Linked DNA regions of Oryzias latipes. The protein of the gene in region 2 interacts with the protein of the main gene of each other region in a pairwise test. Links are inferred from orthologs where the notes say so. Each region holds a gene or a part of one and is shown on either strand. Other genes may lie near its edges.

Region 1 (4,087 bases), on a different chromosome or scaffold from region 2:
AAGGGAAAACAGTTAAAGAAACAAAGCTGGTGCATCATTCTATAGTTACACCAACCTTCCTCATGACTGACTTTTCAAAATAAAAGCATTTGATTCTTGCCTCCTTCCTAAACCCTTCTGCATTTACAGAAAAGCATCTGTTTTATAATCTTTTTCGATCATTTTACTTATTCTTTTTACGGTTAATCTGGTGTGGACAGCACTTTTTTTATTTAACAAATATCCAATGATTAACTAGATGTCGGTTATCTGTCGTTTTTATCCTGATGAGTTCAACAGCCAAGCTCCCCTGACGAGTTTATTACTCTAGAAACCTAAAGCAAAGGCTTTTTCAGAGAATCAAACTGAAATATTCATGTTTTCTTCAATAAACAGTCAGAATTGACAAAATCAGCAGAGAACTTTCATAAATTCATTCACGTCTCCGTTTGCTTTGAGTTTTTAGTTTGAATAAATCAACTAAATTAGACGTTTTTTTAACAGTAAACAGAAGAAACTGAAACTCTTCTGATTGGTCAGCTGTGTTCTGCAACTTCCTTACAATCTGTGATTCATTACTGATTACTTGTTATTGTTCAAAGTAATCCCTTACTTAGCATACTTTACAGAATACCTTACATAACTCATGTATTACTTTTCAATGACTTTGTAAAGAACTTGAAAAGTGTCTCACATTTGGATGGAAGAGTACCGGATGCTTGTAAGATAATATAGATTTTTGGTAACAGCTTAAGTTTAGTCCATAAAAATATTTTTTTTTTTGTAAAAAAGAGAGACTGATCAGAACTTTGTGTCCTCAAAGACAGAAACAAGCATTCGACCTCATAAAGACGGTTACCATGACTACTGTAACAGAAAGGCAGATTTTGGCCTTGTAAAAAAAAACTAGACACTTTTGAGAACATTAAAATAAAAGTCTGGATCTCTGAAGGAAGTTTTGACATGCACTGAAGGAAATACTAATAAAAAATCATTAGGAAAGCCCCAAAATACTTTGGTATGACACGAAAGTAATCCATTACTCTTGAGAAGAACTTCAGCGTTTTGTAAAGGCCACGTTAAGCATGAAACGCATTTAAATCGGACACATTTGAGCCGTCTGTTACCTTTGCAGGCTCCACACCAGGTCTTGTGGATGATGACCATGACGGGCAGCCCGCTGTTAAAACAACCACATGAAAAGTGAACAGAGGTCCCACTGGAGCCTGAAGACAGCGACACCATGGATGTCAACCTTCAGCGGAAACGCAGACACGGGTTAGGGACTGGGAGCGCTGCAGCTCACCTGGCCTCAGCTTCTTTCTTGGCATCCTCCAGCGTCCTCCAGTGGATGTTGTCTCCAAAACCTGCAGGAGAAACGGGCAAAACACTGCAGCAAAGTGTTTGAAACGGTTTTCCTCCCAGCAGGACAAAGACCTGAGAGGAAACTGTGGCAAACAGAATGACATGTCTTCCATCTGGGATGGATTCAGATACTAGCTGAGCGTTCACTCCTGTCATTTCACTTGTTTTCTAAGATTACATACTTGGTACAAATGAGCACATTTTCCATCTCAACCCACTTTGTTTTCCTTCAGGATGCCATCACCAGCTCAGCAGGAAATATCTGTTTCCTTAGCAGACGACTTTGACTTTTATTTATTTTAAACATGCATCTAAGGCGAGGCCAGCCTGAGGTCAGACTGTCTTCACATTTTCAAACAATGTCAGCAGCGAAAGATAATCCCATTTAGAGAAAAGCTCACTGAATTTATCGTCTGAATCCTTTCAGCATCAACTGTTTACTCCAAGCTCAAGGTCCACGGGATAAAGAGCACGCTGTGACCCGATAACAAATTCAGTCCTTTTTTTTTTTTTAGCTTTTTCTATTCCCATCAGCATAATGTTTATCATGTTATTCTGTCTTGTTTGAAAGCAGCTGTAAAGACACAACTTTCTTTAAAGTGGAGCTTTCATTATTTCCTTATTTTACACCTACCTACCTTGTTAAGTTCTGCAACCTGCTCAGCATCACTAAAGGCGCTGAATTCCCTGTTAGTGTGGTTCATATTTGAGCCCAGTTTCATTTACACACACATAAACCACAGGATGCATCCTGTTCTGCATCAGTTTGGCTGTTTCCAAAACATCTTTGGACCAAATCATCATCATGTGCACACAAGTTCAGTAAATGCACAACAAAAGCACTGAAGAAGAAGTGTTAAGTTCGTTACAGTTCATGCATAAAGTCCTTCAAAAATTTTACTGACATTCCCTGAAATCCATTCAGATCACCAACTTTTACTATGATTATTTTGGATAAAAATGAACACAAACACTGGGCAAACGGTGAGATCTTTGAACCAGCAGAAGAACAACTTGTGAAGTCTAAGAAGGAAGCAGCGCGTGAAGCAGTCAACAGGATGCGGGCTTAGCGCTTCAGGATGCGGGCACAAAGACAGACAGACAGGTGGCTCTCCTCTTCTTGCGGGAACGGCGTTACTACTCCCCGGCGTCTGCGCCGCAAGCGCGCCCCCGTCGGACTCACCTCTGCCGCTGGCGCCGTCCACCAGACCGTGGAGCCCGCACAGACACACCAGGACCTTCAGCAGCGTGAAAGCGGCCATGTTCACCGAGGACGGCTGCATTTTCCGCGGCTTTCTTCCTCACGTCTGCGGCTACAGGGTGATATAATGGCAGTGCTGGTTCACAACTTTCGACCCGGACGTTCAACGGCTGCTTTTCAAAATTAAAGCCCGTGCAGGGTGATTTTCAAGCCGAACGTTGCGTACACACGCGCACGCGCATGTGCGCGAGTGGCTTCCTATTGGTCGACAGATTCCTCTTGCCATTTTGAGGCCTGGGTCACGTGACATCATATCCACACGACCGCGTGCTCCGCCGATGTGCCCCATTAGTCAAGGCAGACAGCAAAACGTCGGCCGGAGACAGGAAACAAAAGCAGAAACGTGCATTTAAAAGCCCCAATCTGCAATAATCATCACAATCGTTTAGCCTGTATGCTGTTTTAAGAAAACTATATGCACTTGTATTACTTTTGTCACTAAATAATTGTACAATTACTTAACGATTCTTCAAAAGATTCCCGAATCTTAACACTTAAGGATTTTATTGTGAAAACTCAAAGCGGAAGTGATTCCTTAATGCCGTAAACTCGTCGATGCTTCTGTAAGCCTCACTGCTCCTTTTGTAGCAAGAGAAGTTCAACGGAACCTACATATTTTCTTCGTGCTCAGGTAAATTGAATTCATTGCATTGCTTGTAAACATCTAAATGGTCTAAAGTAGCTGTAAGCTAACAGTGTAGTCATGAACCCACTTTGGATGGAGCGTTACTTTGCTGCAATGCTAGCATTAGCTCAGATAGCCTGGCGTTTTAGCAACCCGATTAGCTCCACTCGTGTTCAAAATAATCATCTTTTATTTTTGATAGTCGCCTTACAACAGTCTCCAGCATCGATAATCTAGACGACCCGGCCGTCTGGTGTTCTATTTGTATTGTTTGTTACTGGTAGAATCGGAATAACGGTGGTTGTTGCCTAATAACTCGGTGTGGTTTAGCTTCACATGATCGTGCAGCCCCTTCAGCGAGCCTGTAGGAAAACTCTCAGGGTTAGACTGTTTGACGGATCACCAAATTCCAATTTATTTACTTTATATTTGGATTGATTGTGAGTTGACGTGGTGTTATGTGAACTTTTTTAAATTAAGTTAAATCCATTAAATTCAAACACAAATCCTTATGAGTTTAAGCTACTTTTTTTTAAATGACATCAGACATGTCTGATGTCATTTAAAGTGACTGCATAAGATTCATAGCTAACTGTATTTTGCCAAATAATAAAAACTGTCCTGACAGTGATGATGATCTCATAATCTTGTCTCCATATCTGCACATCCAGACTGAGAATAACGACATTTGTTGTGTTTCTTTTGGAAGAACCAGAACACTATGAATCAGGAAAAGCTCGCCAAGCTTCAGGCCCAAGTCCGAATAGGAGGAAAGGTAATGGCTTCCAGCATTTTCTCTGCTGTTGAGTTTTTTTCCTGTTATGGTCTCCTCTGTGGCTCATTTTGGAGTGCAACGG
Region 2 (4,155 bases):
TGCTGATTTTGAATCACTGTGAAGCATGTTGAGTTGCAGAAGTAAAATGTGCTCTACAAAAATATTAGATGAGGGTTTGCCCTTATCTAATATTATTATGGGCCTCTTATTGCAGTACTAACCATCTCCACATTTCAAAATAACTGATTCCTGCTAATTTTGTCCATGTGTACATCATCTCTTGAGGGTTAGAAAGTTAAGACAAGCTGAAAAAATGTGGATATTTAAAACACTTTCTTAGGTCTGTAGAAATGTTTATTTGTCCTATTGGAAAAAAAGAGCAAAGAATCTGAACTATGTGAACTCTTGATCAAATACACCCAATTTGAACTAATTATAGATAATTTCAGCAAATATTTTAACTCTGCTTTTTCAAATTGCCATCTGTGTATCTGTAATTAGTGTACGTAAAAGGTTTTAGCTGAAATTTTAGAAATTAAAAAACGAATAAAGTCCTACCCCTCATGCAAGACAATGAAATAATAAAATAAATATGCATTTGTTTCATTTAGATGTTTTACTGATTTGGCAAGGTTTAAAAACAGGTCATTTCATTTCACAGCTTTAAATACAAGAAGCATATTTATTAACGGCAATATAAAACAAGTACTGAAACATCGTCAAGGTTATTAGCCTACATGACATTCCTCAATACACTAACAAACAGCAAAACCAGTTACTTTTATAGCAGTTTTGAATATAGCAGAAAAGCCAGGAAAAAAACAAACGTCAGGTCAAATGAACACAGAAGGGAGGTTTGGTCACTTTCCATAAAGAGAGAAAAGATTAGTAACAGAGTCGTAAAGATACAGAAAAGAGGATACATTAAAATTGGCACATTCGTAGCACAAAGGGTGTGCGGTGGTAATTAGGGGTGGTTACACCAAAGAACAGGAGAGGAGGAAATTGCTGAGAGATAGGTTAGAGACAAGGACCATGCAGCGAGCTCAGACTGCTGTTTTCAGTACTGGCTATGACCACAGTAAATATGGCTGCCAGGCAACGATAAAGCACAGATACATCCAGCTGTTTCTCATTTTGAACAGTGTAATACTCTGTTGCTGAGTTTGGCAACATTTATGAGGCTTCCTCCTCCAGCGAGGACTTGTTCCATCAAACATTCTCAAGAGTATCAGAAAATCTGAGATTAGGAGAGCAAAAATGCTGCCGATCTAAAGTCAGAATTGTGTCCAAGAACAGCCTTCCCCTGTTAGGCAACAGGACTAAACCAAAGAAATAGTGCATGTTCATTCAGGCACTCTAACTTGCCTCATTGCAATACTCTAATAGGTGATGGTGACTGTGTGTTCATGCCTTATTGAATCAGGCTTCGCCACATACAGACTCAGATACGCAGAAAAGACACATGCTTTCATGTGCGAGCAATGGTGCACCCTTCATGTGCTAGTGCGCACAAACACTCAACATAAGCACACTCCCTAACAGAATAAAACCTTTAAAAAAAGAACTAAATGTATCCAGAACAGTCTTTTTCTGCTTTGTTTCCCATAGATCAGATGAGTGGCTTTCCTCAGAGCTGGTTGGTATTAACATTACTTATGTTAAAGTAGCTTCGCAGGTATAGCAGCTTCCCGTCAGTAGCGTCTCAATGGCACTGCAGTGGTACAATGGTGCTTCAAACTTGCTTGTCTGGCAGCTGTGGCTGCAGTCCTACCGCGAGCGGACTAAAATCACACAGCCCTTGTTTCGATTCAGCTTCACCCATTCAGGTAAGTGCAAAAATCCTCATGGCGTTCAACAATAACCACTGTGTTATTTGTCTTCATCGTCGTCAGTGCTGCTGCTGCTCAACACCGAAAACATCTGCATTGCAGAGATCCGATATCAGGATTCAGTGAAAGAATACATTCTGCTTTCCATCAGTGGCAGGTGTGCAGTCATAAAGGCTTATCGATCATGGTCACACCTGTAAAAAAAAAAAAATATGGATCGGTGGTGTCACAGCTAAGCTTCACCTGCAGCAGGATCATAAGCATGAAAACAAACAGTTGAGGCTGAAATCCAAATCTGTCTTAAAAGGTTTTTATTTAAGATGGCTTATTTTTTCAATTAATATCATAAATAGGTTTGATATACATTTAAATTTCTTTGATTTTTTTCCCTTTGTTTTTTATGTTTGAAATAAACCAATGAAGTACACATGAAAAGAAATGACCCACTCAAGGAGTAAACAAACAGGGATTTTCTACTCTATTCTCAGAATCTGGCTCGGAATCTTCTCCGAATACGTCGCGCGTTAGTCAAACAAAGGTTCAGGGATGAACTGACCTGCATAACTGCGGCCTGTGCTCATACAAGTGGGCATTAAAGTCCACTTGTCAGTGTTGGGGTTGTAGAACTCAACTGAGGCCAAATTGCAGCTGCCATCATCTCCTCCCACTACATACAGTAAGTTGTTTACAGCACACACTCCTGAAAACACAAGTTCGAAAAGGTCACCTGACATCAGAGGGATCTACCAGGTCCATGGGGGTGGAAGAGACGCGCCCTTCACTGACCTGCGTTGCGTCGACACATGTTCATGTCAGCTACTTGACGCCAGCTGTTGGAGGATGGATCGTAGACCTCACAGCTCTTCCTCACTAGAGGACCATCGTGCCCCCCCACGGCATACAGCAAACCTTTTAACACACCTACACCTGGAGAAGACAAAGTACACATTTTAAACCACAAAGTAAACACAAAACTGTTGAATGTGGATAATTAAATGCCTCTCTGTGTGTATTTCATAAAATACTGCTGAATGCTTTAGTGTATTTCAGATCCTGATTTCTTTACAAATGTACAGTTCCTGCTGTGGGGATAAACACTTTAATAAAACATCACATGATCCCACAAGTAACGTTTTTAGGATATCAAAGCTTAAAGGTTTTCCCATTTGACCACTAGGAACTGGATCATCCAAGAAGACATAAAATGTACCCAACATTCCAACATTCCATCAATTAAACTACTGGTTTTGTTCTGAACATACATGTGCATTTCTTTGGTTCTTGGAAGTTCAAATGTGGGTGATCTATAACACAAAATCTTTAAATTAGTACAAAGAAGCAACACTGGATTCTAAATGATGAAAATAAGGCCTGAAATGGGAAAGGCCGGTTTGCTCCACCCACTTCAGGGAGCAGTTCCTATATCTTATGAAACATAATATATATACATAATAAAATAACTGTAATGTACGCCATGGATGATTTTGCAGGAAAATCTCCCACTAATCTCCTAGACTTCCTTCATCAGAAAAATCTGAGTGAGAGCAGCTGTGCAGATTTGTGTGTTTGGCGCTGAGCATCACCGTGTCCACTATGTCTGTCCAGCGGACAGCAGTAAAGCGAATTAAACTCTACGCAGAAACACAACTGGACAGATTCGGCTCTCAGCACTGGCCTTGATGGAATAGAAAAGGACTTCTTGACGGAACTGAAGACCATAATCTACATGACAGGGTGATCAAACTGTTCTTGAGGAAAGAGAAGAGGATGGATTTTGTCTTCAAATAATCCGATTTTTTAAAGAGTGAAAGGATAAAAATCGTAATAAATTCAATTTCCAAATTTATGTGGTTGTTTTCAATGTTTTGAGCTGGTTGTAGTTCCATAACAGCATTTGTTTACTGTTTTGTTTATTTAGAGGCATTTATTGAGGATACAGGAATTTTCAATAAACAATGCAAAGCTTGTTTCTGCATCTTAAAATGGTTAATGAGGGGTTGAGTGATTCAGACGTAGCACGACTGAAGGCCCAGGTGTGTAATGCACGGTCCGCCACTGCAGCTAACATCATAATTATAGCAACATTTGATGTGAGTCAAGTGCTCATTTCAAAGCATACATTTGTGAGTTTGATAAAAAAAAAAAAAAAAAAGTCCTGGTCTGTCTCCTCAGAGATGATGGCACTGGAAAGCACAAAAACCTTCTGACATTTATGAAAAAAGAATTGAGGCAACTGTAAACACACACCCTCACACACACACACACACACACACACACACACACCGAGACCTCCTGTGAAAACTATCAGTGCAGTCAATGGTTAGTTGTAGCCCAGCCCCCACACACCTGCTCCACTGCGTCTAGTGCCCATCTCTGCTATGTAGCTCCATGTGTTGCTTTTAAGGTTGTAAGCTTCCACTGT

What was found.
Region 1: the proteins of klhl2 (region 2) and txndc12 interact in binary tests that used the Homo sapiens proteins (3 or more experiments, as listed by UniProt). The two-hybrid records come from large-scale screens. The link is inferred for Oryzias latipes from reciprocal best matches to the Homo sapiens genes KLHL2 and TXNDC12.

Annotation. Positions count from the first base shown.
Region 1 is NC_019875.2:4,319,631-4,323,717, forward strand, and holds the start of txndc12 (thioredoxin domain-containing protein 12), read right to left. Parts: upstream 2,801-4,087; 5' UTR 2,628-2,800; coding exon 2,528-2,627; intron 1,347-2,527; coding exon 1,286-1,346; intron 1,160-1,285; coding exon 1,107-1,159; intron 1-1,106. Other genes in the region: btf3l4 (transcription factor BTF3 homolog 4), read left to right, coding at 3,952-4,005. UniProt on the Homo sapiens protein: Protein-disulfide reductase of the endoplasmic reticulum that promotes disulfide bond formation in client proteins through its thiol-disulfide oxidase activity.
Region 2 is NC_019859.2:19,776,541-19,780,695, reverse strand, and holds the end of klhl2 (kelch-like protein 2), read right to left. Parts: coding exon 4,080-4,155; intron 2,661-4,079; coding exon 2,520-2,660; intron 2,434-2,519; coding exon 2,290-2,433; intron 1,928-2,289; coding exon 1,899-1,927; 3' UTR 501-1,898; downstream 1-500. UniProt on the Homo sapiens protein: Substrate-specific adapter of a BCR (BTB-CUL3-RBX1) E3 ubiquitin ligase complex that mediates the ubiquitination of target proteins, such as NPTXR, WNK1, WNK3 and WNK4, leading most often to their proteasomal degradation.